4 linked regions of the Astyanax mexicanus genome follow. The main gene of each other region encodes a partner of the protein of the gene in region 3 in a complex. Links are inferred from orthologs where the notes say so. Each region holds a gene or a part of one and is shown on either strand. Other genes may lie near its edges.

What was found.
Region 1: apba1a (region 3) and lin7b share a complex: the UniProt entries of both Homo sapiens proteins name them as parts of the brain-specific heterotrimeric complex. The link is inferred for Astyanax mexicanus from reciprocal best matches to the Homo sapiens genes APBA1 and LIN7B.
Region 2: apba1a (region 3) and lin7a share a complex: the UniProt entries of both Homo sapiens proteins name them as parts of the brain-specific heterotrimeric complex. The link is inferred for Astyanax mexicanus from reciprocal best matches to the Homo sapiens genes APBA1 and LIN7A.
Region 4: apba1a (region 3) and lin7c share a complex: the UniProt entries of both Homo sapiens proteins name them as parts of the brain-specific heterotrimeric complex. The link is inferred for Astyanax mexicanus from reciprocal best matches to the Homo sapiens genes APBA1 and LIN7C.

What each region holds. Positions count from the first base shown.
Region 1 is NC_064426.1:20,923,001-20,931,054, reverse strand, and holds the start of lin7b (protein lin-7 homolog B), read left to right. Parts: upstream 1-4,890; 5' UTR 4,891-5,064; coding exon 5,065-5,140; intron 5,141-6,606; coding exon 6,607-6,725; intron 6,726-8,054. Other genes in the region: snrnp70 (U1 small nuclear ribonucleoprotein 70 kDa), read left to right, coding at 198-299, 969-1,068, 1,611-2,433. UniProt on the Homo sapiens protein: Plays a role in establishing and maintaining the asymmetric distribution of channels and receptors at the plasma membrane of polarized cells.
Region 2 is NC_064409.1:24,819,356-24,827,195, reverse strand, and holds the start of lin7a (protein lin-7 homolog A), read right to left. Parts: upstream 3,052-7,840; 5' UTR 2,956-3,051; coding exon 2,919-2,955; intron 1-2,918. UniProt on the Homo sapiens protein: Plays a role in establishing and maintaining the asymmetric distribution of channels and receptors at the plasma membrane of polarized cells.
Region 3 is NC_064429.1:24,134,980-24,142,463, forward strand, and holds the start of apba1a (amyloid-beta A4 precursor protein-binding family A member 1), read right to left. Parts: upstream 3,222-7,484; 5' UTR 3,119-3,221; intron 1-3,118. UniProt on the Homo sapiens protein: Putative function in synaptic vesicle exocytosis by binding to Munc18-1, an essential component of the synaptic vesicle exocytotic machinery. May modulate processing of the amyloid-beta precursor protein (APP) and hence formation of APP-beta.
Region 4 is NC_064430.1:6,993,677-7,001,655, forward strand, and holds the start of lin7c (protein lin-7 homolog C), read right to left. Parts: upstream 3,012-7,979; 5' UTR 2,880-3,011; coding exon 2,843-2,879; intron 1,026-2,842; coding exon 907-1,025; intron 1-906. UniProt on the Homo sapiens protein: Plays a role in establishing and maintaining the asymmetric distribution of channels and receptors at the plasma membrane of polarized cells.

The sequences.
Region 1 (8,054 bases), on a different chromosome or scaffold from region 3:
CCTGAGGTAAGCGTGTGCTTTCTGTATGAAATTACATGGGCAACTGTATCTGCAGGTAAGAGATAACAAAAACAATACTGTAACATGCATTCCTCTTGCTCACAGTCTTCTCTTTCTCTCTCATTTTTCACTTCTTTTTTCTTTCATCCTTTCTCCCTCTCTACTTTTTGGTTTTCCTTCATTTTCCTGCTTTGTAGCTGCCTACAAGCATGCGGACGGTAAAAAGATTGACGGCCGGAGAGTTCTTGTGGATGTCGAGAGAGGTCGTACAGTGAAAGGATGGCACCCCCGTAGGCTTGGTAAGCAGTAACTGTTCTCCCGGATATAGTTGGATTTACTTTTGATTTTGTTTTAGTATCACATGCAATATGTACATCTTCTTTTTGTGTGCCTTATTTTGTACGCATTAATTTGAAAATTTACTGTTCATTTCCAGTCCATACAAGATAATTAAGCTGTGATAGTCTATCCTTGGTTGCTTTTTGAATGAGGCAGCACATTGCAACAGTATATTTAGACAAGATAACCATGTGCACCATACTTGTGCTTGGCACAGATGGAATTTTGCCTTGGGCTTTTACGCATCTATACAGTGAACATACGCAATAGTGAGTAGACTCAGAAGATGCAGTGATTTTGTGAGCACACATGCCCAGAGTGTTGGGCTGCCATTGCTGCATTGAGGGTTAAGGGTCTTGGTTAAAGGCCCAACACTGGCAGCCTTGTCGCTAGTGGCCTGGCTGTGAGCACTGAGCCAACACTGCACTCTATTTACATTTAAAAACAGTAAAATCTTATTTCAGTTTATAGGATTCAGTTTTAACCACATTCTGTGGATACAAAAAAAGAGACTTAACATAAATGTAATTCATAAATATACCTTTTCTGTATCCTTAGCTTTTGGGTGACAGCTAAATATCTCCTGTTTTGTGTACTTAATGTATTGGAACTGTGGCTTTTCTTCCTAGGTGGTGGTTTGGGTGGCACAAGAAGAGGTGGTGCGGATGTGAACATCAAACACTCTGGCAGAGATGACACATCACGCTATGATGATCGACCTATTGGGGGGTGAGTTCATGAGTGGTAGAAAAGGTGGTGGGTTAAAACTTATGATGTGGGCTAGAAATGGTCCTGCGGGCTTAGTGCTGCCACTATGATCAGGGGATCAGGTTAGAATCCCAGTCATGCAGCTTGCCATCACTGCTCTTTCCTCCGAGTGCAGCTAAGTGGGTTGGATAATTGGCATAGCTAAATTGGGGAGCAAAGAAAATGCTAGATGTTTTTATTAGGTGTGTTTGTATATCATTGTTATCTAAAAAGTATCTCCATTTTTGTCTGTTTCATGTCAAAGTTTCTTGATGAATTCTCCAATTCAACAAGACAAATTCTCCAAATCAAAAACTGTTCAAACTGAGTTACATTGAAAGCTAAAAGTTTTTGCTCTCTCCTTTAAATGTTCTCTTTGGTAGATACTTATTTCATTGGACAGCAACAGTGTGCTAAATTTTAATGTTTGTCCTCTTAGGATTGAAACCCAGTTTTTTTAATTTACCGTATTGTAACGAAGATCTACATATCCTGATTGCTGGTCTGTTCTTTTGTCATTTTAGTGACCGTGACCGCGAACGTGAACGCCACGACCGCAGTCGGGACCGTGACCGTGATAAGGAGCGCGGTGAGCGTCGCCGCTCTCGGTCCAGAGAGAGACGCAGGCGCACCAGATCTCGCGAGCGTGAAAGACCAATGGGAGCTGGTGAGGATGGTGGCGGCCGGCGAAGGGAGAGAGAGAGGGAGAGACCTGAGGGAGGGGAGGGCAAGAGCCGAGAGAGGAGCAGAGACCGCGACAGAGATAGAGAACGCAAGAGGAGAAGCAGGAGCAGGGACCGCAGGAGGGACAGGGAGAGGGGCAAGGGAGCCGAAGGAGGAGAAGAGGGCATGGGGGGTATGACTGACGGCATGGGAGAGGGAGGAGAGAGGGGGATGGAGGACCCCAGCGGAGGAGAGATGGGTCGAGGAGAGGAAGGCGGTGTGGAGGGAGAGGAAAGAAGCAGGGATAGAGACAGAGAGAGGGATCGGGATAGGGACAGGAAGAGAAGTCATAGAGATAAAGACAGGGACCGGGATAGAGAGAGGAGGAGGGACCGGGACAGAGACCGTGAGCATAAGCGAGACAGAGGCGACCGAGATCGAGGGGAGCGCAGAGAGGATAGACATGCCTCTATGCTGAACCCTGCTGGAGATTCTGAAGGATTGGGTAACGGAGCTGAAGAAGGAGAAGAATCCATCCCACCACAGTCTGAAGAAGGTTCTCAGGACGGGATGAGCATGGGCCTGAACCTGGGCATGATGGACCAAGATTCCATGCAGTCTGGAGAGGGCTACGCTTCTAATGAGAATGGTTACAAAATGGAGGCACAGGGTGACGAATACTGAATATAGTTTTTGTGGGTTAGAGTCTACACTCTAAAAACAGATGTGCTGAAAACATAGGACCAGTTTTGAAGACTTAGATCAGGCCTAAGCCTATCCCAGCTCAGTCCAAAACTACATGTAAAATCCATGCATGGCTAAACGAGTGCATATCTTGTATCTACGTGTTAAGTTAAGGACAACACATGAAACAATTAATTCAAAACTAATTGTATTTAAACAAAGAGAAAGATCACAGGAACACAGGCGGAAGTGGACATTTGTGTTAAACTTTCCATTTAAAAGTGTTAAATATTAAACAGTGGTTGTGTTCAAAATAAGAGAATGTGTTGTCCTTTACTAGATGCCCAACTGTGTTGCATAATGGAAACAAAGCATATTTTCACACATCGGCTTTGAGAGTGTAGTGTCTGTGGGATATTTCTGTTATAGTCAATCACAGGAGTCATTTCAAGGTAGGATGTATTTAAGATTTAATATGTTTTGAATTCTTCACTACTAATGTTTCTCCAGCTGCCCAACAGCAGCAGCGTGTACAGTTCTGTTTGCCTTTGTCATTATGTGGATCACACAGCAGCGGCTCTACGTCCAAAACCAAGAGAATTGTCTTTTTTAATAATAAAAAAAATAATTGTTGCCATAGGTTCACAAATTGCTCTTTTTGTAATTAGCTTTACTTGTTTTGAAAAAAATATAAACGTTATGTGAACCTGTCCCTGTTGTGGCAGTTTTGCCTTTTTTTGGGTTATGTTTTGCATCTTGATTTTCCCTAATAAATCCACATTTTTTAATGAAAATATTCGTGACTGTGTTCTATGACTTTTTAATCCTGTTTGAATACTGGGATGTGGTGATGTGTAATTTGGACTCTTGTTTAGTTTTACCTTTGGTACAGCTTGTTTAAGCAGGTGTACATGTAGTGTTTGTTTAAAACTATAGTAAAGCAGCAGACACTGAAACAGTTTCTACAGGTGTAATTTAATCTTCTATGTTGTCCAGATTACTACTACAGTTATGAATAAGAATGCCTCTTGCTGTATTATCTTTCTGTCTACCACCCCAGGCAGTTCTAACCAATGTGTGCATTTTTTTTTCCTGAGTGAAAACGAACCAAACCAAGGGGAACACTGCTGTTAACTGATTTATATTTTTAAAAAATATATTAAAAAGTCACTTCATTTCAGTAATTCAGTTCAAAATGTGAAACTCAAAGATGTAATGTGCACAGTGATCTATTTTAAGCGTTTATTTTATTGTTAATGATTATAAATGATGTTCAACCTATATAGCGCCTTTCTATAAACCCAAGGACGCTTTACAATTTGCAGGTTTTTACGTAAAAACATTTATACTCACCACTCAAACACGCACCGGTGAGAAGCGGCAGCCAGTAGTGCACAGTGCACTCTTAACCGGAAACGACTGTCCATCTGGAGGACTGCATTGGGCACTACAGCATTTACCCAGGACAGAGTGCCAATTAATACCTAAGCACAGTCATACACACACAAACTTACATACCACATGCACAAAGATCATTTTAGAGTTTCCAATTGACCTGATCTCCATGTTTTTTTTTTTTTTTTGGACTATACAAGGAAACCGAAGTCCCCGGAGGAAACCCACGCAGACACGGGGAAAACATGGAAACTCCACCCAGATGGGGATTTGAAGCTAAGACCCCAGTACTGGGAGGCGAACGTGTTACCACTAAGCCACCATGGCTCACAGTAAATAAATACCCAAAAATCAGTATCTCAAAACAATTAGAATATTATATAGGACCAATTGGGACGGTGGGCAGTTCAAAGCCCTGCTGGAAAATTTTGCGTTTCATTTGGAAATTAAGGGAGCAGAGTCTGCAGGACGAGTGGAGAGACACACAGTCCAAGCTGCTTGAGGTCTAGTGTGAAGTTTCCACAATCAGTGATGGTTAGAGAGACATGTCATCTGCTGGTGCTGAGCCACTGTGTTTTATCAAGTCCAAAGCCAGAGTAGTGTTTCTCCAAGAAAATCTAACAGCACTATATGCTTACCTCTGCTGACAACTTTAATGGAGATGCAGATTTCATTTTCCAGCAGGACTTGGCACACTTCCCAAAGTACCAATTGGTCCTATAATATAATATTCTAATTTTCTGAAACACAGATTTTTGGATTTTAATTGGCTGCAAGCCATAATCATCAACAATAAAATAAATAAACACTTAAAATCGATCACTCTGTGTGTAATACATCTATATAATATATGAGTTTTACATTTGAACTAAACTACTGAAATAAAGTAACTTTTCAACGATATTCTAATTGTTTTACAAGCACTAGTACATTAATTGTGAGGTAAATTAGCATTAGCCTCTGTGACTGAGCTGCTTAAGGAGAAATGCTAATATTTAGCCAATTTGCGGCGATCTCCGGGGAGCCAATCACGGCGCTCCGCGTCTCTGACGCGATGTGTTGCGTCATTCAGCAATACACTGCGTGCGCGGCGCGGATAGACGCAGCAGCACCGAGCCGCGACCCTCGCAGCGCGCGGAGAGAGACGGGGGCTTCCCTGCGGTACACGCTGCACCTCCCGCTCCGTAGAGACGCCGAAAGCCGCGAGCTGAACCCGAGCCGGAGCTCCGAGTCCCCATGATGTCATCCTACTACCACCCGGGGAAGGAGGCGGATATGGCGGCGATGAGCGAGCCGCTGTGCCTGGAGAGAGGTGGGGGCTGATCAGGCGCGCGCGCTGCTGCTCACTGTAGTAGCTGAGCATCATCACACACAGACCCCCGGCATCAGGGCTGGACCACGCATTCACTGTGTGTGATCCAGTGTGGCTGCAGGAGGCTGTGAGGGTCCGGGCTGTGGGGTGCAGGCAGCAGTGGGTGGTCACTCTGTGGTCAGATCTCATAGTAGCCAGTGTGTGTGTGTGTGTGTGTGTGTGTGTGTGTGTGTGTGTGTGTGTGTGTGTGAATGGACACCGCCCACATGCACCTACCTTTGGGGTGTGTGATCTGTTCTTCCTTCTTTGGGATAGTTTTCTCCTCCCCCTGTGTAAACTGTGCTGGATATAACCTAGATATCCTTCATTCATACTGCTTATATATATATGAATTAATGAATTATGTATGCAAACTGGTTTTATTTTGTACTGCTGACGTCAATATGATACATATATATATAGGACCAATGTTAAACCAATATTGTCATATATCAAATCAGTAAGAATTGATCCTATACTGTTGATGTAGCTCTGATATATGAGACCAGTATGAATTGGTCCTACACTGTAATGTTGATGTAGCTCTAATATGTATTAGACCAGTATGAATTGGCCCTGCACTCACTGTACTGAATTACATCATGCTATAGGACCAGTATAATGTGATTCTGATATATAGGACCAGTATGAATTGGTCCTACACTGCACTGTTGATGTATCACAGATATATATTGGACCAGTATAATGTACTGCTATATTGGCCCAAGATAAATTGTTGTGACATTGTACTGAATTACTGAGTCAAACCAATATTGTCATACATCAGAGCAGTATGAACTGATCCCGTACTGTAGGCTACTGTTAATGTAGTGCTAATATATATAAGACCAATATTAATTTGTCCTATACTATACTGTTGATGTATCTCTGATATATAGGACCAGTATGAATTGGCCCTATACTGTACTGTTGATGTAGCGTTAATATGTAAAGAACCAGTATTAATTGGTCCTACCCTGGACTTTTAATTTAGCACTGGTATATAGGACCAGTATGAATTGACCCTATACTCTACTGTTGATGTAGCTCTGATATATAGGACCAGTATGAATTGGCCCTATACTGTACTGCTGATGTAACGTTAATATGTAAAGAACCAGTATTAATTGGTCCTACACTGGACTTTTAATTTAGCTCTGGTATGTAGGACCAGTATGAATTGGCCCTATACTGTACTGTTGATGTAGCGTTAATATGTATAGAACCAGTATGAATTGGTCATACACTGTACTGTTGATGTAGCTCTACTCTACTCTGAACAGCTTCACTCTTTTTCATTCAGTTCTGATTCCTCTATAAACAAGCAGTCAGACACTTTTATAAACCGTTATGTGTAGAACCAACTGGTCTTTCTCTCTGTCCCTCTCTATCTCTCCCTCTCTCTCTTTCTGTCTGTCTATCTGTAGATGTGTGCAGGGTGATTGAGTTGTTGGACAGGCTGCAAAGGAGTGGTGAGCTGCCGCCTCCTAAATTGCAGGCTCTGCAGAGAGTCCTCCAGAGCAAGTTCTGCGCTGCTATCAGAGAGGTGGGCTTTCACCACACACACACATAGGGTCCACATCATATGTGATTCCTGTATAATTATTTTTTATTTGTATACTAAATACCACAATACAAATTGAAAATAACACAATAACACAGGGTAGGATATACAGCTCTGGAAAACCACAAATAATGCAGAGAAAACAAGTTCATAATCATAAAGTTTTGAGAGTTCAGAAACAAGATTTTCATGCAGTTTTCATGCATCTTGGCATGTTCTCCTCCACCAGTCTTACACACTGCTTTTGGATAACTTTATGCCACTGCTGGTGCAAAAATTCAAGCAGCTTGGTTTAATAGCTTGTGATCATCCATCTTCTTCTTATATTCCAGAGGTTTTTAGTTTGGTAAAAATCAAAGAAACTTTTTAAGTGGTCTCTTATTTTCCAGAGCTGTATGTAAAGGAAAGATGGATTTATAGATAGAACTTATATAGTAAGAAATCATAAACCCATAACCACTCTATTAGTTAATAATCAGATAAATTACGTAACTCCATAATATAATGTTTATTCTGTAATTGTCATTGTTTTTTGGACTTTATGAACCATTTGGTATGATGATAATAATAATTCATTTTAGTATTATGCTATGTTATGCTCTATCAAAATGTTATCCCATAACTGCCATTAGTTATTATGTACGCACATTAATTATTAGTATTAACATTATGCTTGGTTTTAGCTTGATCTCATCATTACCATTGTGTTTTATACACCCACTGGACTAATGGATAATGGTAATGAGGAGATCTGTATCTACAGCACTGTAATAAATGTCAGTCAAATTTAACCGTCACTAGAATAGTGAACTCCCTCAATATACCCTCCTTTATTACACTGTACTGGTTTAATAACACAAGTTAAATTAAACCTGACATTAGAAGCTGCTGTTTATCTGTTACTAATTACCTCTTCATTCTCCCCTACATCAAGCCGGATGTTGGCTGTTAGCTCCCTGTGGACAGTAAGCTGTGTGTGTGGGCAGGAGAGAAAGAGAGAGAGAGAGTTTCTGAATGCAGGGATGAAGTCACTGATTTGACTGCACTGTTCTTTCTTTCTGTCTTCTTCCCACACTTTCACAGCGACTGCTGCTCCTCCAGACCTCCTCTGTATTCCTCCCTTTCTGACTGGAGCACGTTCATTTCATTCTCTCTCTTCTCAAGCATCTCCTTCCCAGCTCCATCATTCTTCTGTCCATGTCTCACAGACACACTCTGTGTAATGACACTTTCAAGTGAAGGGTGGGCAGGATGCCAAAAACATTGAAATACATACAGCTCATACAACAAAAAAATAAGAGACAACTTAAT
Region 2 (7,840 bases), on a different chromosome or scaffold from region 3:
TGGCACTGACCTAGAAGGACATCTCTTCTAAAGCTGATGCACAAGAAAGCCAACAAACAGTTTGCTGAAGACAAGCAGTCCAAGAACATGGGATACATGCATGGCCTGGTGCTGCCAACACTGGAAAGCTGAATTCAATGTACTGTGACATTCTGAAGCAGAGCATGATTTCCTCCCTTTGAAAACTGGGCCACATGGCAGATTTCCAACACAATAACAATCTCAAACACAACTCCAAGATGACAACTGTCTCGCTGAGGAAGCTGAAGAAAAAGGTAATGGACTGGCCAAGTATGTCTCAAGACCTAAACTCAATTGAGCACATCTGGGGCATCCTTAAATTAAAGGTGGAGGATTGCAAGGTCTCTAAAGGCTAGATTTATGATTTCGTCATGGAGGAGTGGAAGAGGATTGCAGTGGCGATCTGGGAAGCTCTGAGGAATGCGATGACCAAGAGGATTAAGGAGGTGCTGGGAAATATTGGTGGCCACATAAAATGTTGGTGCTTTAGGCACAATTTTGCTATTTTGACTTAGAGATATACTCACTTTTGTTTCTAGTGGTTCAGACTATTGAATTAAGTTACAGCAAATTTACACTGTTATACACAGTGTTCTCAAGTCTCACGCTTTGAGCACCTCAGCGAGTTCACACGCTCACACACCACACATGGTATTTCTCACGCTTACCAATCCATCGGCTGTATATTATAATGTACTCTTGTTGAGCCAATCAGAATAAAAATCACTCTGTTGTTTGGCAGACCTAGTCAAAGAGGGTGGTGCGAAGAACTGTCCAATTCAAAAGTTCTGAAACACTCGGTGAACAACTGAAGGAGAACGGCGGCAAACCTGCCCACACTTGCACATCCACCAATCCCACCCAGCTCCCCCCGTTGTACAACTGAAGAAGAACAGCGCGCATCCACAACTTCGTACAACTGAAGAAGACCTGCGAACACTACCACCACTTTAAAACTTGAGAGCCCTGGTTATACAAGCTGTACACTGACTACTTTACATTGTTTTAAAATATCATATCTTCAGTGTTGTCCCATAAAAAATATAAGAAAATATCTACTAAAATGTGAGGGGTGTACTGTACTGTATAATTGTAAAGCCTATATTAGCTTTATGCAGTTTTTTCAAAAAAATAATACAGCTTCAGTGTCATATTTGATATTTTTGCCCTATATTAAATTCAGTAAATTGTGTAAAGTCTTCACATAAACATAAAGTCTGTGTGTTGTGTAAATGTGAATTGTGACTGAGTACATGTTATAAAAAGATCAGAAATACTCAAGTAGAGAAATGTAGGGTACAGGCCATTAAAGCAGTATAATAAAATCAGGGCTGCAGCACTCTAACCTACTGAGCCACTCACTTCAGTGTGTGCTAACAGCACATTATACCATCCATCACTAACCCAGACAGCCTTAAAACACCATAACCCAGCATACCTCTCATACCAGGGCAAGGGCTACTGCCATACCAGTTATACCATGGGCCAGTGCTATCCCATTACTCTATTAATATCCCAGCCTTGCTCAGCCTAGCCTGCTGACCACATCACTACCACCAGTTACACAGTATACACTAGGAATGGACAATAATTGAATATCAATATTTATTATTATATGAATTATTATAAAATAACAGTCAAATAATTTTTACCCGTCTGAGGCCCGCATTAAGCCCCAAACTTATAACCTATTAACTTATTAAGCTTCATAACTGAACAACCGTGCATCATACAGATATAATCTACATATCAGATATCCATCAAATCAGTGAATAATCCAGCTCAGAATAACAATGAGAATCACCAGTTAGCCGGGACACTACAATAACTACAATTAGCATGAACTATAGCCATAATCAGTGTGACCGTCTTCTACTAATTATCAATAATTTTTAGTTGAATAAAGGTAAATCAAAATATAAAATACTGGTCTAGGATTGTGAGAGACATACAGTATTTTACATCTGTCTCTGACTGATGTCCATAACAGGGAGCTGCTGTCAGTTCACTGAATTCAAGCTGAGCACAAAGGGCAGAACACTACAGAGTACTGTAGCCTGGCAGTGTCACTGAGTGATGAGCACCACAGGTGGAGGCTTTTTACTGTTCATATTCATATAATAATTATATCATATCGACCGGAATTAATCGTGGAAGATTTTGACTACACACTATTATGGCCATTTAAAGATTATGGCAATTAGAGATCGGCCTGAGGAACACCAGTACAACCAGAAACACAGCACACTCACACCATCGTACCCATTCTGGCTTAACTCCCAGTTAGGGGCTATAGTGCATGCACAGTGCACACACACACAAAACACACAAACACACACGCGCGCGCGCGCATCCCATAATACTCCACTGAAACACATAGTCAGCAGCCCCTTTAGAGAATTGTACGCAAAACAACATAAAACATAAAACAGAAGCACGAGCTCAGATCTCATCATTACTCCAGTGATGCTGTGCAACGTCTGCGTGCACGCGCAGCTCGCGCATGATGACAGGGGGGTCTGGGAGCTCGTGCGCGGCAGAAGCACCTGCCTGTACCCCCCTCCCTCCATTGTTTGGACCCGAACTTCAGGTACAGGAGTAAACAGAAACAGCGGAGAGTAAAGGACGCGCGTGCACGCGAGTAAAGCGCGCGCGGGTGTGTGCACAGGTGGGAGTAATTCAGCCTGGTTTACTGACAGATAGACTACACACACCACACCGAGCGAGCGAGCGAGCGCGAGCACGGCGGCTCGAGCCGGAGCGCGCGGCGCAACACACTCCATAAAAAACGCCGTTCATACGAACTATACGGGAATTAAAGCGTTTACACGGGAGATAAAATAAACCGAATCTAAGCGAATTAGAGCCCGGATCTAGCGGATCCATCGCGCGCTTACCTCGCTCCAGAGTCAGCGGCTGGACCACCGTCGCCATGTCTGCCTTCTATTACTGCACACACTGAGAGAGAGAGAGAGAGAGAGAGAGAGAGAGAGAGAGAGAGAGAGAGAGAGAGAGAGAGAGAGAGAGTAAGGGGATGGGAGGGGGAGTGAAGAGAGTGAGAGAAGGATAAACAGAGCGAGGAGTAGTGAGTGAGAGGAAGAGTAGGAGAAGAGAGGGGTTATTATAGAGAGAGAGAGCAAGGAAGAATGAACTGAAGAGAGAGAGATGAAGAGAGAGAGAGAGAGATAGGAAGAATGAACTAAAGAGAGAGAGGTGAGAAATAGAAAGAATGAACTGAAGAGAGAGTGATGAGAGAGAGATAGTGAGAATTAACTGAAGATAGAGAGAGAGAGTGATGGAGAGAACAAGTAGCAGAGAGATAGTGTGAGGAAGGGGTGAGGGGAAAAAGAGGTACAGAGTGAGAGAGAGTGATAGTGAGAGACGGGTGTACAAAAACAGTGGGAAATATAGACGGAAGAGGAGAGAGAATGGGAGAGAGATTAATAAAGAGTTAAAAGATGGAGATAGGGAGGAGAGAGTAAGTGAGAGAGACTAAGAAAGAGAATAAGCAGTAAAAAAAACAAGAGCGAGGCAGGGAGGTACAGAAAAAGAGTGAGAGACAGAGGGGATGAGTGGGAGAGTTAGTGAGAGAGTGCGTTAGGAATTAAGAGATGTATGAGAAAGAGATAGGAATAAGTGAAATGGAATACACAAGAAAGTGTGAGGGGTGCAGAATGAGAGAGAAAGGGAGAGAAATAAGGATGAGAGATAGGAAGAAAGCGTTAAGAGAGCGATAGTAATGATGATTATAGAGTGAGAGGGAAGCGATGAGAAAGAGGTAATAAGATAAAAGAGAATGAAATGATAGTAAGAAAGGGGTGTAGAGAAAGAAAAAATAGTGTGAGAATGTGCGAGAGTGAGAGAACACCAGAAAGGTAGTGTGAGATAGGGAGAGATTATGTGAGAGAGGGAGAGTTGACTGAGAGAGAGATAGATAGAGAGAGAGAGAGAGAGAGAGAGAGATAGCAATTATGAGTAAAAGAGAGAAAGGTTGATGAGAAAAAGGCAGTAAGAGAAAAAGAAAAATAGGGATGAGTGATAGGAAGAAAGAATTGATTAGAGAGGTACTGTTTATAGGAATAAAGAGAATAAAAGAGGCTGTGAGAAAAGGATTATGAAGAATAGAGAATTAAGATAAAAATAAGAGAATTAATGAGAATAGTGGATTAAGGATAGTGATTAAGAGAGAAAGTGGGAGAGAGAAATATTGTAAGGTTAAGAGAGAAAGGGTAAAGGAGAGATGGGGATCATAAAGAGAAAGAAAAATAGATATAGTATGAGAGAGTAAAAGAGTAAAGGTGTAAAAGAGATGGAGAAAGTAAGAAAAAGAGAGAGGGGTGGAAGAGACAAGATGGGGATAACAAGAAAAGGGAGAATAAAATAGTAAAAGAGAAAGAGATGGGGTTAATGAGAAAAAGAGGTATAGACAGAGAAGGGGTAGTATGAGAGATAAATGTAATGATAGAGAGAATGGGTACAGTAGTACAGTAATACAGAAGTACAATATATATGAGTGGGATAAAGGTTGAGAAAAAGACAGAATAATTAAAGAGAGTGGGCAACTGCCCCTTTGGTGACCCCATGGTAAAAAAGTGTCACTAAAGTGCCATCTAAAGTGGAAAAGGAGACAAATAACCCTATTGTCTGCCCATCTAGTCGGGACAAACAGTGATTGAGTGCCCATTAGGTGCCCCTTCTTAGAATAAATGATGTTGCTGTGCTGTTAGATCAAGAAATGTTAATAATTTGTCTTAAAGAGTGCCATCTGTGAGTGCCCGTCTGCCGTTTCAGTAGTAGTAGGGGTGCCATTATAACGTGTCCCAAAGAGTGCCCTTTCCAGTAGAGTGAATGAATGGTGTTCTCCTACAGTTGAAAGAACATGATGATGTGCTCAGTTAGGTGCCCCTCTAATTGAGAAGTGCCACCAGTGTATTAAATGTGATGTGGTGCCATACAGGTGCCTTCACAATTTCATAAACTGTATTTAATGGTACTAGACTAGAAAGTACAGGCCCTATGTCATGCAGTCATCCAGAGTGAATAAATGAGAGAGAGAGCTCAAGAAAGAGAAAGAGATAGGGATGATGAGGAAGAGAACGAGAAAGAAAGAGGGTGTGTAAGACAGAGAGATATATGGATGATGCATTTATTGTGAGGCTGTTGGTTTATATTGACTGTTAATGATCTGAGGATGTCCACTGCTCCTGTTCAGTATGAGTGATGGTTTTGGCAATTCTTGTCCAGGCAGTCCTGGTGTAATCTGTGGGTTTATATGGAGTGGAACAGCAGCAGCCCCAGAGCAGGGTTCTGTTTGGGACATCCAGCTGAGGTTTAATGGGCTGGAGCACTGCAGGTAAGCTGGAAGAGGATAAAATGCTGCTATCTACGAGCCCAGCTATTTACAAGTTCTTCATGGGTCACTTGCTGGATGTAATGTACAGCCAAAACAGTGCAGACTGCTAAAACAGCCTGGCCAGCTTAACCAATTTGGTTAAACTGGTTGACTAACTTACAATATATTGCCAAAAATATTTGCTCTTTTTTAACCCATAGAGGTTTGAATGATGTGAGCTTACCCTCTGCAGCTATAACACTTTTATTTCTTCTGGAAAGGCTTTCCACAAGGTTTGGGAGTGTGTTTATAAGTTTTTTTTGACACATTTGTGAGGCCAGGTACTGATAATGGATGAGAAAGCCTGGCTCTTGTCTCCACTCTAATTCATTCCAAAGGTGTTCTATTGGGTTTGAGGTCAAAACAGTCAAGTTCTTCCAAAACAGACATGCTTATCCATGTTTTTAAATACTTTTTTTGAGCACTGGTGTGCAGACAGGTTGGATTAGGAAAGGGCATCCCCAAACTGTTGCTGCAGAGTTAGGAGCATGACATTTTCCAAAGTCTCTTGGTGTGCTGAAACATGAGGAGTCTCTTTCACTGGAAGTGGCCAAGCCCAACTCCTGGAAAAAAAACCTTAATCCCCCTCCACCAAACTTTACACTTGGCACAATGCAGCCAGACAAAATTAGCATGATTGGTCTCTCCAGAGAACATGTCACAACTGTTCTACAGTCCAGTGGCCGCTGGTAATGAGAACACCTGAAGTAAATTTTTTTTTGAATGGGTGAATTAATATATTTGGCAATAAAGCTCTATATATAGTTCTTGACCAGTATAAGCTATTTGTTTTATCTGGGTTTGACAGTTTAGCCCAACCAGTCAGGTCAACCAGTATAAACAAATTTGCTATACAGTACTGATTGTAACATTAAAATCAATGCCATGTGAAATGAACAGCATTGGTGATCTAGGTCTAATGGCACCTGTGTAAGGGGTGGATTCATAGACCTGCCACATGTTTTGGTCGAGCTAGTCGCCATCTCGGTCAGGCATTGTCATGGAACCAATTTGGTGGTGATTTTTATGCCTATTATATCTGGGGCCAAGTGTCACAGTTTTCTCCATAGGACACATTAGTCCATGTTTGGCCCAAATACAGTCACTTTGGTGCATTTCTCAAATCTGAATTAATATTTGCAACACAGTGTGGGCACTTCTCAGAACAGCTTGTACAAACAGCATCACATAAATTATCAGCAGCAAATGCACACACTGCAATCAAATTCCTTTACCCATGACCCAAACGTATGTATACATGTAAGTGAACATGTCAGTCACCAGAATAAAAAGTTATTTATTCATCGATTATGAACAAGACAGTCAAAATGATTAGTCATGTGGTCATGTATCAGTATACTCAGTGAGGAATTTCATAATGCATAATTTATCTTTATGATTTTACTGTTTGTATAAATGGCAGATCATGTTGTTGTACCACAGAACAGACAAGAATATCAGTAATACAGTATTTTCATCAGGTTAAAGCCAGCTACATCCAGGTGTATGATTTACTTTATTCCAGTTCCATTAGGTTACATTCCAGAATATGCAACATGACTTATGAATTACATTCATTGTTATTTTGTACTGTATATATTATACACCTATCAAGCATAACATTGTGACTAACTACTTGTTTCTACATCCATAATCTATGTTTTAGCTCCACTGTGCATATAGGAGCACTTTATAGTTATATAATAGTTGATTGTTGTTTAATATGCGGTGGGATTTAAACACTTTGTCCACTCTATTAGACACTTTTAACTAGTTTCTCTACATTGTAGATGTGAAGTCATCTGTGGCACGTTTTGTGTTGGTCATCCTCTAGACCTTCATCAATGCCCACAGGATGCTGCCCATGAGATGCTGGTTGGTGGACTACTCTCAGTCCAGCAGTGACACTGAGGTGTTTAAAAAATCCAGCAGCACTGCTGTACCAGCACTACACACACTAACACCTCATACACCACCACCACCATGATAATCAAAGCTGATCACTGCAGTGCTGAGAATAATGACCCACCACCCAAACAATAATCCCAGCTCTGTGGTGGTCCTGTGGTGCATGTAATACAGTACATCTGTGTCATTCTCAGCTGGAACATTTTCGGCACCCTGTCAGTGATTAAAATATATAAAATCTGCTTTACAGGCTCTGATAACTAATTTAAATAATTTGAATGTAAGGACATGTGCAGTGAACTAATAGCTAGCTGTATCTGTCAGTTCTGCAGCGTAACAAATAATATATTGTGATCTGCATGATAGGAGCAATTGATAATTTGGGAAACAGCAGACAGTTGTATGAAATAATTGGCTGCTTCTTTAAAATGAAAGAGAAATGATTTCTGTGATCTGCATAAGTGATGAGATGATGTGCAGACCGAACAACTGGTTTTGAGAAATTCAATTCTGATGTGA
Region 3 (7,484 bases):
TGGATCAAGGAATAAGCAGTTAAATGCCTGCACAACATCAGAATGGAATCTGCCATCCACATGGCAACCACTATCAGGCTTAGCTCAAACTGATCATTCATATTGCCTTGCCATGAGCACATTAGCCACTGTTCAACCTCCCACACAAGGTAACACCTCACAATGTTGGGATTTCCAAACCGTTTCTTGACGTAACACTTCAAGTTTCCTACATCAAATAATCTGTCCAACTGATTGTGGACACTCATTTGATTAAATAGGTTAAATTCAGCTGCTTCAAAATCTGCACCTACTGCTGTGCAATGAAGATAGGTACTGCCAACAGAATAGCCTGACTGCATTTGAATGTAGAGCAAGGGGAACTGGAATGATGGTTCTCCACCCAAAACTTTAGGGATTAGTTGGAAAGATGGAGATGCAGTGGGGTGCTGATCATCCAATACCCTGACAAATAAATTCTTCATAAGCAGCAAACCTCCCAAATCTTAGAGAAAGTCTTCCCAGAAAAGTGGAGGCAGATGATCCAAAAAAGCAGGATAAACCATTTTTAAAACTCTTTTCATTTAAAATATGCCCCAATACTTTTGTCCATTATAGCGTACATATGTTTGTAGAAAACAACAACTTGTGTCAGTAATGGATACACCTGATTAGAAGGGTAGTCCTGATAAAGTGTCTTAGAGTCTAGGGTTAAGCCTAGCCTTGGATTATATTTAAATTCCCTTCAATGTAGAATCTCCAATCATAATGATGTGCTATACACAACTGTGCCTAATAGTGTATGTACAAATAAAAAATCAGATTGCATTATAGATGATTGCTATTAGAAATTCTCTGAAAACAGAAAATGGGTTTCCCCTGGTTACTCTTAGGGTTTCTTTATCCGGATAAAAAAAGGAAAGCTTTTGTTTTCTGTTACGCTCCTTTGCTTAATGACAACATATGTTGTGAAAATTTCTTTACCAATACATTTGAATTATTAGGACACTGCAGATAAGCCACACACTTACAGGGGAGATCCACATCTCTCCCATTTCCTATTATGTCCAATTTATAGTCATTTATAATCTTGCCTATTGCAAAACTACTTTAAAGGGCACTGACAGCAGTTTTCCAACCCAAAGCAAATACAAGAAAATGAAATACATATTGCGTTACTTACGTTGATACAGTTTATCTGTATTCAATATGGATTTTGATGCTAATTGGGTTTTTCAAGCAAAAGCAAAACACTGCCAAACCAACCTGCAAAACATAGCTTGTACCTGAAAATCCTGAATAATTACCCACTGCGACACAACGGTACCAGAACTGCAGACTGCAGGATCCACCAACACATAACAACGATCAAGGTAAACTGATTAGATTAACCACGTTAGCTATAGGATCACAAATCACCTCAGTCACCAACCCAGTCAATGAAGACGCAGCCAGCTAACAAGCCAGCTTACCATTCGTGAAGGCAAAGGGATTTTGTTGTTCTACCTGCAGTGTTTGACAGAAAATAATAGCAGGAACAGTTAAGCTCCAGTAGACAGTGCGTTATAAAAGCACTTTAGCTGAAGTGATCTCTTGCCCAGCATCTGCAGTGTATTAGTTAGCTACAAGGCTTTCCAGAGCATCGTCTATGGTGCTGCTGCTGCGGTAGACTGTTTTGCCCACCTGCACAACGGAGCAGGCGCTGGTAGTGAGGACGCCATTCACTAAAGAGACTTCCTACGGAGCGATGGGCGATGCAAGAGAGGAGAGGACCCGGGCTAGAGCTATATTGCACATAGGGGGCGTAAATGGTGCCAACACTGGATGGAGAGAGTTACGAAATGTAAAGCTGGGTGTGACAGGAAATATTTAAGCTAACTAGCCCCCTTTTTCTCTCTTGATAAATATATATTTTGTATCTCTAGCTACAGATGGTATAAGCTAGGAATGCCAAAAGCTAGTTAACTAGCTACCAAGCTACTTCAAATACAGCTCTGGAAAATGTAAACCTACTTGGTAAATTGAAACCTATGGAATGGCAGAAGGAGTGGCATAAAGTTATCCAAAATCAGTGTGTAAGACTGGTGGAGGAGAACATGCCAAGCTGCATGAAAACTGTGATTAAAAAAGAGGGTTAATCCACCAAATACTGATTTCTGAAACATTATTTTTTGCATTAAAACTTTTGATTTCTTTGCATTATTTCAGGTTTGAAAGCTCTACATCATTTTTGTTATTTCAGCCATTTCTCATTTTCTGCAAATAAATGCAGTAAATGACAATATTTTTATTTAGAATTTGAGAGAAATGTTGTACGTAGTTTATAGGATAAAACAACAATGTTCATTTTACTTAAATATGTACCTATAAATAGCAAAATCAAGAAAATAATGATTCAGAAACTGAAGCTGTATATTATTTGTGTTAGCTAATTAGTATTATATGCTATAATTGTCTTTATGCCATGAGTGACCAAGGATAAATTTCCACATGTGGGCAATAAACAAATTAAATTCTATTCTATTTTAGTATAACCATACTACACACAAGCTCAAGCCAAGTTTGTCTTTATCTATAACACAGTTTCCTCAATATAAGATGGATTTACAGTAAGCCTACCCTCCTTACTGTTAAATTCTAAAATCGTGTCAGAAACTTAGCTAAGCTTTCCACACATTTGGGCCCAGGTTCGTTCCGCATTAGTCCAACAATTAACGTTAGCCAACATTCACGTTATCACGTTATTACAGTCCCTGACTGAAAAAAAACCCCGTGAAGTGGGCGTAGCAGGAGGCTAGCTAACCTTAGGTTTTTACGGGGCTTCTCCTCCCACCGAGACGTTTTTTTTTTTTTTGTCGGCATCCGTGGCAGTGCTCGTTTCAAGCTCACGTCAAATATATACGCTTTAACAGTCACTAAATATAAAATATACCTCAATAAAGTGAAAAATCACCCAAACCCAACTAGAAAGCCTCCTTTAAATGCTTTTTCCAGTTGGTCTCGCCGCTGAAGGGAGCGTCCTCACCGCAGCGCTGCCAAACGCTGCTGAGAAAAGACCGTTAATTTTAGAAATTTGATATTTAAGCTTCACGCGCAGGTAGTTATAAAACCGTTGCACCGGCAGCTTAACGGCTCTCACCTGTTTCGGGCAGTCTAACGGTTTTCCTCCATCTTCCGTCCCTGCCTTTCACACTCTGCGCGAGACGAGTGCGTTATTTTTTTCCCCACCCGTTACGAACCATGCCCCGCCTCCTTAAGCTACGATTGGCTGGTAGTACGGCGACCGGGATGAGTCGCGTGCTCGGATTGGCTGGTGGCATCGTCTGTGGCATCACATCGGACAGGCTTTTTTTGTTCATGTTTTACTTTTGTATTGTAATATTTTTATTCATTTTATTTTATGCTTTTATATATATGTTTTTAATTTTTTTCAGTATTGTAAATATGCACAAACAGAAAAGTAAGTTGTCATACAATATTTACATCAACTGTAACGGAAAAAAAGGAAGAAAATGAAAAAAAAGGGGGTGGACAGAGCAGTCCGAGGGGTTCATATTTGTTGCCACCTTATTCCGCCACGCCCACTTTAAAGGAAATAATTATTTAAAAGGACAAAATGTACTAAAATACAGCAAGTGTATACAACACTGCATTACAATTTTAGAACAATAGACTAAAATAGGTAGAGACTGGATTTGGTTACCCTCCCCATGCCCTCTCCAGACAAATATTTGTGGACAATATATCATTCCAGAATTTTTTTTAAATTTCTACTGCTACTCAGCTGTATAAAACAAGGAGAGTGAAGACTAGCACATGCCTTCTGATACATGTAAAGTCAGCCACCACCCCTTTTCAATCTGCTGCTGATGCAGCATTGCTGAGTAACATTACAGTGCGTTTGCAGGAGAGCGCATTAACTCGGTTCCAATACATCAGCTCACAGACGCCTTGTGCTGATCACCATCACCCTTTGTAGTAATGTGGGGAAGAAGAGTGCCATCTACCCACCCAGAGAGAGACCAATTGTTCTCTTTCGGGGCTCCAGTAGCTGATTGCAAGCTGCATGACAGGAATACGAACCAGCAATCTTCTGACCATAGTGGCAGCACTTTACATTGCTGAACCACTCAGCACCCTATATTATTGTCATTTTATGACAATTTAAATGCCACTGTCATAGAATAGCATAACAAAGCATTACATGAATGGCTAAAGTTGATTATGTCATTATCATGGCAGGGCTACTCATCTGGTTTGCCAGGTTGTCTATTGAATCCACCAAAACAAGTTTAAGAACCCTTTTTTGCGATTGGAAAGTGACAATGTATCATATTCTGTAAGCTGGTCAGCTTATGTATATGTTTGTAATAAATGTTTTGTTGTTTGCACATTTATAAATCTGTCAACTGTTAGCTAGCTTGACAAAAATACACACTCTAAAGTTGGAGTTATTTGTTTTACAGATCCCAATAACATAATACTGAGTTTAACAAATAACATATCTCATTGCTTACCTGTATAGCAGAAAATGTTACAGCTCAGCACTCGTCTTGTAGTCTTTCTGGGTCTAAGCTGTCTCCATCTATCAAATACACTGACAATATTTACTCACATTTTACTTGTTCTCAGGTCATGAAGCCTTTTTTAGGATGCTGGGGCTCCAGGACACTGTTTTTTTGTTTGTTGTGTACATTATCTGCAAACCCAGGGTGTGGAAATGGGACTGGGAAATGGGCAGATGGTGGGGTCAGAAGCTAAAACACAAAGAAATTTCCTTTATTAATGGATAGTTTAAAGCTGGATAAAGCAGTGCTGTCAGGAGATGCCAATGTTTAAAGTTAGCATGTTTCCTTAATATCTGAAAACATATCCTGCTTATTTACAGAATAAGAGTTAGTACAGAAAATATAAAAGACATTGCCCTTTTAAGAGTTTTAAAGCCTTTCAGATAGTTCTAAAACAGAAAAGTGCAGCTTGGAGGGTAGACTTACTAAAATGTATGCAATGGAAATTATATTTAGAAAAAAAATACTAAAGTTAATCAAATACTCAATACATATATCATAATTATTTTCAGAATATATAATATAGTTTCAAAGAGTGGACATCTGACAGCTTTCGAGCTCTCTACATGGCTCTGGTGAGCATGAACTACTAGCCAATCCCAGCGCTGTCAGTGGGATATTATCAGCCAATCCCAGCCAAATAGGCGTGGTCTGTTGGAATACGGGTGGAGAAAAAAGGAACACAGTGGCTCAGTGTCTCCGCCCTCACAGCAGGCGTGACATCAGAGGCCTGCGAGCCAAACAATACCACAAGCCCCAGTATTTCTGAATGAAGCACTGAGACTGAAAACAGACTGTGGATTAACTTGTACACGGCTTTTAAAGTCACTTTTCTTGGTCTGCTTCCTTTCAGGGAACTTCAGTAAATATTTAATAATATACAGGCAATATTCTGTAACAACTTCATCAGTATTCAGTAATCAGTATTGGATACTACATAATTATTTATTTTTGATAGCAGGTGTTTACAACAAAGCACTTGGTCATGACATCCTCGTAATTCTTAACATGCGGCAGGTTGGATCTTCTGACTAGCACACAAATGTACATGAACATTTATTCTGTCTGTGGAAACTTAGGTTCCCCCATGGAACAATACGATTAGACCACCAGCACAGCAGAACAAAATGTTTAGCTGAAAGCTACAGTCTAAACATACCTAATATTTTGGCTAAATGCTGGGCTTGGCAATGCTGGCCCAGGTCAGCAGCCATGTTTACAGTTAGCCGTAAAGTTAAGTCAGCTTCAGAAGGGTGGAGGCAGGACACTTATCAAACAGCAGGAGCCAGGCTCTAAATGCTTGGAGTGAATTAGCTGAGATGCCAACAGTCAGCTTTAACAGTTCTTCTAACGTTGTTGCTGCTCCACTTCATTATTTTCCTCCGCCACCCTAATACTGGTCTAGACACAAGTAGCTCCACTCTTTCCAGGATAAGTGTCCAATATAACCACACTTAAAAAACAACTGGTTCTGAGTATGTATCATTAATATTGTAGTATACTCACCTTTGACTCTTGTATCTGTACTAAAGAGTCAAAGACGTGTTAGTATTAGTTATAAGTATTACTTGTAAGTATGCAATTGGCACACACCCTTGGAGTGGGTTAGCAGTGATGCTAACAGCTGGTCCCGGCCGAGTTGAAGCCGCAATGCCAACAGACACTGTAACCAGGCTTGAAAGGTTTGGAATGGGTTATCCATGATGAAAAGTTGGCCCTTTAGAAGGACACTGAGACATTGACTGTTGAAAATAAAATTACATAGTGCCCCATCAAACAATCCCAAATACTAAATGAATACAACTGTTTAGAAAAAGCAGAAAGATTGTTTTCAAGAGAAATTTTATTTCCTGTGGTAGGCAACTGACAAACATTTATTGTGGATACAGATCTTTTTAATCTAAGAATAAATATATAAACACATGAATGAGATGCTAGATTTGTTATTGTGGTTGAGCCAAAAAGAAAACCTACAGTACCTTATGTAAACATACCTAAAATACATGAGAAGGAAAAAAACTAAAACAAAACTAAATTTCTTCCTTTTCCCAACATTTGATAAAATAATTATGAGAATGTATGTATGTATCTGCATAGATGTACCAGCGCACTTCACCTCAGCTCTTCACATGTTGCGTTACGGCATTCGATCCACAGATGTGATGCAAGAAGAAAACAAATTCAAACACAAAACGCAAACATTTTTACATTTTTAGCTTCTTTAAGACACCATAAATTAATACACTTAAAGCAGTTAACATTAGAACTTTTTAAAAACATTGAGAAGGATAAATGGATTAGAGTTAAGGTGGAAGCCCTGAAGAGATAAGACTAATATTGAGAGCTCATCTAGACAAGCCTTCATGTAGCCAACTCTGCGTGATGGCTCTCGTATAGGTCACTGAGCAGGTAGTCAATATAGTGACAGAACTTGTACAGCAGTGGCACAAAATGCAAAAAAAGAAAAAAAGAATAGATGGAAAAAAGAACCAGGAGTAGAGCTGGGTATTATTCACAATTTTTCAGTAGTGATACCGATAACGAAACGGGATACCGATAACATAAATTCAATTCAGCAACTTTTTTTATTTAACCGCAAATCAAAAGTAGGTGTGGTCTATACCAGAAAAGACTAAGTATTTGCAAACTAAGCTGCTGATAGTATTGATTATTATATGGTGGAATTTGGGACTTAATGGGGCCTGGGCAATATGGTAAAAATATATCACAATATATCAGTACTGTCAGTACTGACATATCTTAAAATCTACCATTTTAATTTATAAGAGCACAGTCATTTTTATTCTAATTATCCTGTCCTTAATTATCCTGGACTAAATTACACTCTTTTTAATAAAACGTGGAGTTGGGTCACTTTAAATGATTGATGGTATTCTCAATAAGCTTAAATAAGTATGTTTCTAAATACAATAAAAT
Region 4 (7,979 bases), on a different chromosome or scaffold from region 3:
CACAGCTATCGGTTGTAGAGGCTGTTAGTGTGACTTTAATTGGTCTTTCCTTTTCTAGGACAAACATAGCCACTCCTATAAAGCCTTTTAGCCTATGGCTAATTACTTAAATGGATTCTCAGCATACAGGAACATGTTTCAGTCCATGGACAGAGCAATTCTTGTCTAAAGCATATAATGCCTTAATGTTTTAAAAGCCTACATGTACTACAAAAAAAACTTCTTAAAATTATATTTCAAAAGGAAAAAAAAAAAAAGTTCATAATTACTATAATGTAGGAAGGCCTGTCAAAATAACTACATTTTATTTAGATGATGTACTAGTCCAAACGGCAGTTAAATGTTTATTGTTTGCTTTTTAATGCATATTCCATTAATTTTTTTATTGTCTTCTTTATGAAGTTACTTATTTTAGTTAAACCTGATTATAACTGATTTTAATTTTATTTTATTTTCCAATTTCCTTTACGTTGTAAATATTTGGTTTCGTTAAAAATTAGGACTACCTTTAATGTTTAATAAAGGTTCATTAAAATAAACACAATGCACAATTTTTTGACGTCAGTAAAAATAATTAAACAATTATTATACAATGGGGTAATAAGGTAACTTTCATGGCCGGTCTATTTGGATGGTTTGTTGTTATTGCGGAGACTAGAAAAATTGTATTTTTTAGATATACAAAACACAGAAAAGTGAGAAGTTTCTAAATAAATAAATAAATAAATAAAGTATACTTAACATCACTAAATAACTGTAAATGGTTACACAAAGTCGTGCAATGAAAAGTAAAAAGTAATTTAACCAGTTTCTTATGATTTATTAACAATATTACTGGAATCATGGGTGTAACTATCCAATATCAGTGGGTCTAATGTTAATGAAGAGTACTCAAGGTGAGCTTACCTCTCGTACAGCATTGCAAAATTCACTCTGCAAAACCCTCTGCAGGGCTTGCAGCTTCTGAGGGGGTACTTCCCCTGTCCTCTGGAGCTTGTCCAATAACTCAATGGCACGAGAGATATCTGTGAAAAGATATTTTCAGTGAGGCAAGACCAGACAACAAACCAGGAGTACCAATTAATCTAAATCCTTCTGGAATTTTTTTATATAGTTATTTTGTGATTTAGGGAAGTCAACAACAGGGCTGGGCAATACAATTAAATATTGTATCAGAAATGATATAAACGATATTTAGCATCATATTTTCACAGTCAAGACTAAATGCATCAGTAGTAGCAGATTTTTTTAATAAAAAAAAAGGAGATCTGGGCATTTTACAGCCTGAGGACGACATCGGCCCTTGCCTTTCCATACCCAACCCTTTAAATATCCACCTCACAAATTTAACTGGAATTCACTTCACATATTGAAGCCCCCATTATAAAACTCACTTCAAACTAATTTTTAAAAACAGCAATTAATTAAAAACAACTACATGTGTTTCTCAATGAAAAAAATAAATAAATTAGGGATGTGGCATATTATACCGTATGTTATATCATCTCTAAATAAATGCTGATATTCATTTTGTTGAGTAGAGCATTCTATAAGTATGTTTTACATTATGCCACCATAATAACTATTTCAGATAAATATTATCTACAAATAAATCTTTTTGAATATTGTGAATGATATTACACCCTAAAATATCGTGCCATATTACCCACCACTAATTATCACAATATAATTCAGACTGTTCTCATTTCCCATTATACATGTACTAGAGAATGATTATATCTGTCTAGTATCACTTATTTTACTTTAATCCTGGATATATGGAGATAGTTGGAGTACATTATTAGTATCTTGACATTCTGGATCATTGACTTCTGTTACAAATCTGATCAATTTCTTGTATTTTTTCATATCTCAGTTAGGGGTGTACCATATCATATCATATAAGCAATATTTAAATGTTATTTTCATTTTGTTGCAGTAGTGCATTCTTGAAATACAATTTTTATCGCGAAGAGTATAGTTATCATGAAAATACCACAAAATACCATATCGCCCACCCCTAAGTTATGCTATACATTAAAACTCAATTTATACCCATTTTTCAAGACATTTTCAAGTCAAGAGGCTTTCACTGTCATTACATCTGAATACAGGTATACTGTTTAACAAAATTATATTACTCCTTTTTTTAAAATAGGAGTAATTTTAATACATTTAAAAAAAACTTTTTTTTTAAATATAAAAACTTTAAATTAGAGGTGTGCCATATCATAGCGTATGCTACAATATCTCCAAATAAACGTTAATATTTATTTTGTTGCAGTAGAGCATTTAATAGCTATGCTAACTATAACGTTACTGTATGCCACCAGTTTAAAAATAATAAAATAAAAGTAATTTATTACAACAAACTTTGTGTTCCTCAATTAAAAATCTATCATATTACCGTTATATGCTATTATATCTCCAAATAAATTATAATATTCATTTTGTTGCAGTAGAGTATTCTATAGCAATGACAGCTAACTTACACATTATCCCACCATAAATCTCACGTTTACACAAATTTTTCAAGACTTTTCCACATTTTCCAAAACAGTAATCGACTGAACTGGTTAAATGATACTATATTAGTGCCTAATTAACATTATAATATATTTAAAGTGATAAAAACAGTAGTTTTCGGGCTGGTTTAATTCAAAAATCTGAACTAGAACTAAGCTAAGCTAGTCCAGCTGACAGTGAGCTACCTGGGTTAGCTTAGCTTAGTTTAGCTAATAGCCTCCAGCAGCCCCGGAATAAAGCTTATCTCAGACAGCAGGCTAACTGCGCCTCTCCAGCCTTTAAAACACAAAATAAAGCACTGAAATACACAGTTTACCTCTTTCCAGTCTCACAGGTTCCCCCAGCGAGGCCATGTTACCCGGGTTTAGTCCGCTAGTGCCGGAATAAAGGCTCGGTCTCAGCGCCGCGGCTCCGCTGCCTGTACCTAAGCTAGCTAATGCGGAGAGATTACAGCGGGAGGCGGGCAGGATCCTCGCTGCGCACGGTATGCGCATTCCTTTTGTAAACACAAAGTATTGTTTGTGTATGTGTGTGTTAGGGGTGGGCGATACGGCCCTAAAATAATATCACGACATCTCATGGTATTTTTGCGATAACGATACTTTTGGCGATATGAGAAAACACTGAAAAAAAAAAAAATATATATATATATACGTATATATATATATATATACGTATATATATATATATATATATATATATATATATATATATATATATATATATATATATATATATATATATATACATATATATATATATATATATATATATATATATATATATATATATATATATATATATAATTTAGAGTTTTCATAAAAAAAGTTTGTTTTAATAATTTAGTGTTTTAAAAAGGAGTAATATAATTTTGTTACAAAGTGTACCTGTACTCAGATGTAATGATGGTGGGATAATGTATAGCATAGCTTAGGGGTGGGCGATATGTATTTCAAGAATACACTACTGGAACAAAATTAAAAATAATTGTTATGATTGCATATGATATGATATGGCACACCCTTAACTGAGATTTGTAACAGAAGTCTATGATCCAGAATGTCATGATACTAATAATAATGCACTCCAAATATCTCCATATATCCAGGATTAAAGTAAAATGAATGATACTTGACAGTTATAAACCAGTAGATAGATAAAGGGAAATGAGGACATTGTGAATTTTTCTTTTAAAAGCAAAAAAGTAGTACCCTGATAATTAGGGATGCGTGATATGGCACATTATTTCAGGGTATTATATTGTTCAAGACATTTAAAATGTTGGTGATATTATTGCGTGCAATACGATATGGCACACTTTAGTGTGTATAGATTCTCAGTCAGCTTTATGAGGAGTCACCTGGAATGTATTTCAGTTAACAGCTGTGCTGATCTAGTCAAGAGTTAATTACTTGAATTTCTTGTCTCTTAATGTGTTTGAGAGCATCAGTTGTAAAGTTGTGAAGAGGTAGAGGTACAGGTATACAGTGAATAGCTCTATTTTAGTAATGTTCTAATCCAGATTATGACAATAAATACTCAACTAAGTAAAATAAAACAGAATAGGGCTACCTAATCAGAAAAATCATTACAATGGACATCATGTATTTTCTTTTCCTTTTTTAATGATTTGTGGCACAAAACAAAAATTTAGACCTGTTGTCCTTCAGAATAGACCACCAGTGTCCAGACCTAAACCCCATTGAGAATATTTGGAGAAGGCTTTGTGCAGGCTTTGTTGTGTATTTTGTATTGTAATTTTTTCTTGTTGTTGTTGTAATGATTTGGCAATATTGTTATAATTAATTACAGCTTTGCCTTTAAATCTACTTTTAATCTGAATCAAGTATTTAGAGACTACCCACTTCATATCTCACCCTTTATATCAGCAAATTACTATCTTACCGCTAGAGGGAGCCCGCGAGAGAGTCCTCAATGAATGGGAGTGAATGGAGCTAAACTGCTAAAAACAATATTTCAAATACTGTCTAACTACTCATGCATGATTTTACTTTCATTTTAAAAAGTAAAATAAAGTATTTCACTCAGAAAGACAAGAAAACCTACCTGTATGGATCCATTTTTCTATAGTACACATATTTTGAACAGTAGAGACGCTAGCATTATGCTACTTAGTACTGAGTGACTGGCTAAAACTCTTATAAATAGAGTTGAAAAGCTTTTAAAATGATGTGTGCTGTGCTGAAACATTTAATATGGCTCTGTTTTGAGAAAATTAGTCCATTTATCAGTAAAAAATATATAAAACGTTTATAAAATGTGTTTTTGCTCAATTGCTCCATAGGAACCCATTCATTTTGGACTGGAATCGCCCTCTAGTGTCTGACACACCTGAAACACAGCATTCTCAAGTGGATGATATTCTCCCACTCTATAGAGATTCTATTAAAAATAAAACAGTTTATAGCATGTTTGTAGCGTTGGATAATGATAGGAACCTAAATTAAAGAGTTTTAGCATATGTTTCATGGTTGGAATTAGGTAGAAAATGTCTAAAATAGGGAATACAGGGAGAGTTTACTGGTGTTGTATTAGCTAGATAGCATTACCATCTACTGGCCATGAGGCTAAATTACCTCCATTGTATGGATTTTAGATTAGTATTTTTGATTTATCTAAGAATAATGTTCTAAAATAAGATAAGTTATTTATTTAATTTAATTGTATTTTGTTATTATCATAAGAACGCAGGAATATCAGCAGGATAGCATCATATCTGTCTCACCATCAGAGTTAATCCATTTCCAGTACTTCCAGTTCCAGTGGTACTTAGCAGGCCAGGCCTTCATCCATCATCCATCATCCTGCTCTGTTGCTCTGTTCCTCTGGTGTTATATTACAGCAGCAAACTGCACAGACACCATGTTTTAAGAGCCGTATAATTCAGAAACGGACAGGCTAAGTGTGACCTATTTCTGTGGCATATGGGACAGGGCTCTGCTGGCTCTTACCAAGCACTGCCTTTGAACTGGGGACAATCTGAACTTCACTAAAATAACTCAGGAGATATGGAACCGGGCTCTTGGTCAGTGGGAGGTGTAATGTTTAGTGTGAAAATGGCTCTTGGCCTACCTGAAGTGGATTTGTTCTCATTTTTATTCAGGTTATTAGTTAGTTATTAGTTATGTTAGTATTGCAACTGACACAGTTTGCATGGTTTAAAATAACACTTTTACCTGTATTTAGAGGGTTTGAGGAGGGTTATTGATGAAGGTCCTTGAGAAAAATGCGAAGGTCCTTGATGTCCTTCTTTAGGTGTGTGCAAATCTATAGTCTATAGAAGCTCTTATGAATAGGTAGTAGGTGTAAGGACATGTGTAATACGGTAGTAATAATGTAATAATAATAATAGTAGTATGAATGCAAATGGCACAATAATAATAATAATTCATAGAGTATTATCATTATCATAATTATAGTCCTCTTACAGCGTACTACCCCAACATGATTTCCTTTGATATTTTTAAATATTCATGAGCAACGGAAAGAGTAATTATTCCTACATTGTGCCTTATCTCCAATACTGCCTCAGTGTCAACACTTCAGACACATGTGTCTGATAACAATCTATGAGTGAAAGCAGGTTTGCGCTCGCAGATGGATCAGATATCAAGTCGAGTGGATGAGTGTTGAATGCATTGATCTCTTTCTTTTTTTGTTCTCCTCAAAGATGATCTCCATCAGCGATGGAAACCTGTGATAGCCTGTGACCAGTGACTGGAGGGAACCACCACCGACTTCAGAGCAGATCTCAGTCTAGCGTGGGCTGAAGAGTCCTTACCTGAACATGCTGCAGGAACTCCCAGGTCACCAACTCCTTGGTGAGTCAGGTAGTGTGTGTGAAAGACGTTCTGAGAGGAGGTGCAATGTTTAATCTAGCCTTAAAAAAAGAGAGAAATCTGGTGTGGAATTGACTTGTGTTGATGAATATGATTAATAAGTAGGAACTTTTGTTCAATAGCCCACCTCCATCTTCCCTTAGCATTATATAATACAATGCTTTTAGCTGATGCTCCCAACAGGATAACAATGCTAGCATTAGAGGCATCGCTATGTTTATATCATTAGCAAGGCTCAAAGTAGCTCTACACTTTATTAAAAAACTATATATATATATATATATATATATATATATATATATATATATATATATATGTATAAAATACTGTTTATACATACAGTACCTTGTAGCCTCGTTAATGCTGTAAAAATAGCCATTTCTTTGCATGGGCGACACTATGCCCCTACCACTAGCATTGCAAGCCAGTTGGGAGCATCAACTAAAAGCCCTGTATTTCAAAATGCTGAGGGTGAGCAGAGGTGGGCTATTCAACAAAAGTTTATAATCATTATCATGTTTCACTATAACAAAAGCCCATTTCACACCAGTGTTCTCCTTTAATCTGGATTTCCGGTTTCAACGTTGCTCACAACCAGGTTCATAAAGGATTCTGCCTCTTCACAATAAAAGTCTAGTTTTCAGACACAGAACATACTATAAAGTATGGCCAATATTCTGTAGAATTGGAAACTAGTCCAAAACTAGCCTCAATCTCTGACAAGCAACACCAATTTACATATGAAATAATATATTATAATAATATAGAAGGTAATCTTCTGTTTTCCGATATCTGTGCTGAATTTAAACCTGCAAAGGGAGAGCTCAGACTTTATTGACATTGCTTTTTTCAGTTTTTCAGTTGCCTATAGTCATTTTTATTTCTTCAAATATTTCAATTTAATATTGCAAACAACTTCACAACATACAAAATGAATTATATTAATCCAGAACATATCAATGAATAGATTTTATATATATTTATATATATATATATATATATATAGTTTTTATAGTATTTTTTCTTTCATTTCGTGGGGATAAAAAAATAAACAGCAAAGCTTTGACAACAGCACCTTGACATAGTATGTAATTCCAACATTACCTTGAGAACTTTAGAATAGGAAACAGATAAAGTACTTTAAGAGGAGGACGTCCTGTCACTGCTGAGAATGTAAACAGAATGTTTTGGTCGGAAAAGATTCCTTGCTTTCCTTAAATGGACAGTTTGTATCGTTTTTTTTTTTTTCAATTCACAATTGAAGCAGCATGCAAGTTTGTTTTTTCTTTCTTTCTTTCTTTCTTTCTTTCTTTCTTTCTTTCTTTCTTTCTTTCTTTCTCTCTCTCTCTCTCTCTGTCTCTTTCGTTTCCTATGTAATTCTCCCTTTCTGCTCTCCTCCCCTCATTTCTTGAGTTCTTGGCAACGTAAAAAAACCACAATGTCTGGAGGAATGTGATATAGTAATTTGAACTGGGCGCAAATGACTGATCAGATCTTTTTTTAATTGTTTACAAGGTCATGAATATGTTCAATAAATAGACTGTAGTATCACTTTACTGTATAAACTTCATCTTTTTTACATGCAGTCCATAA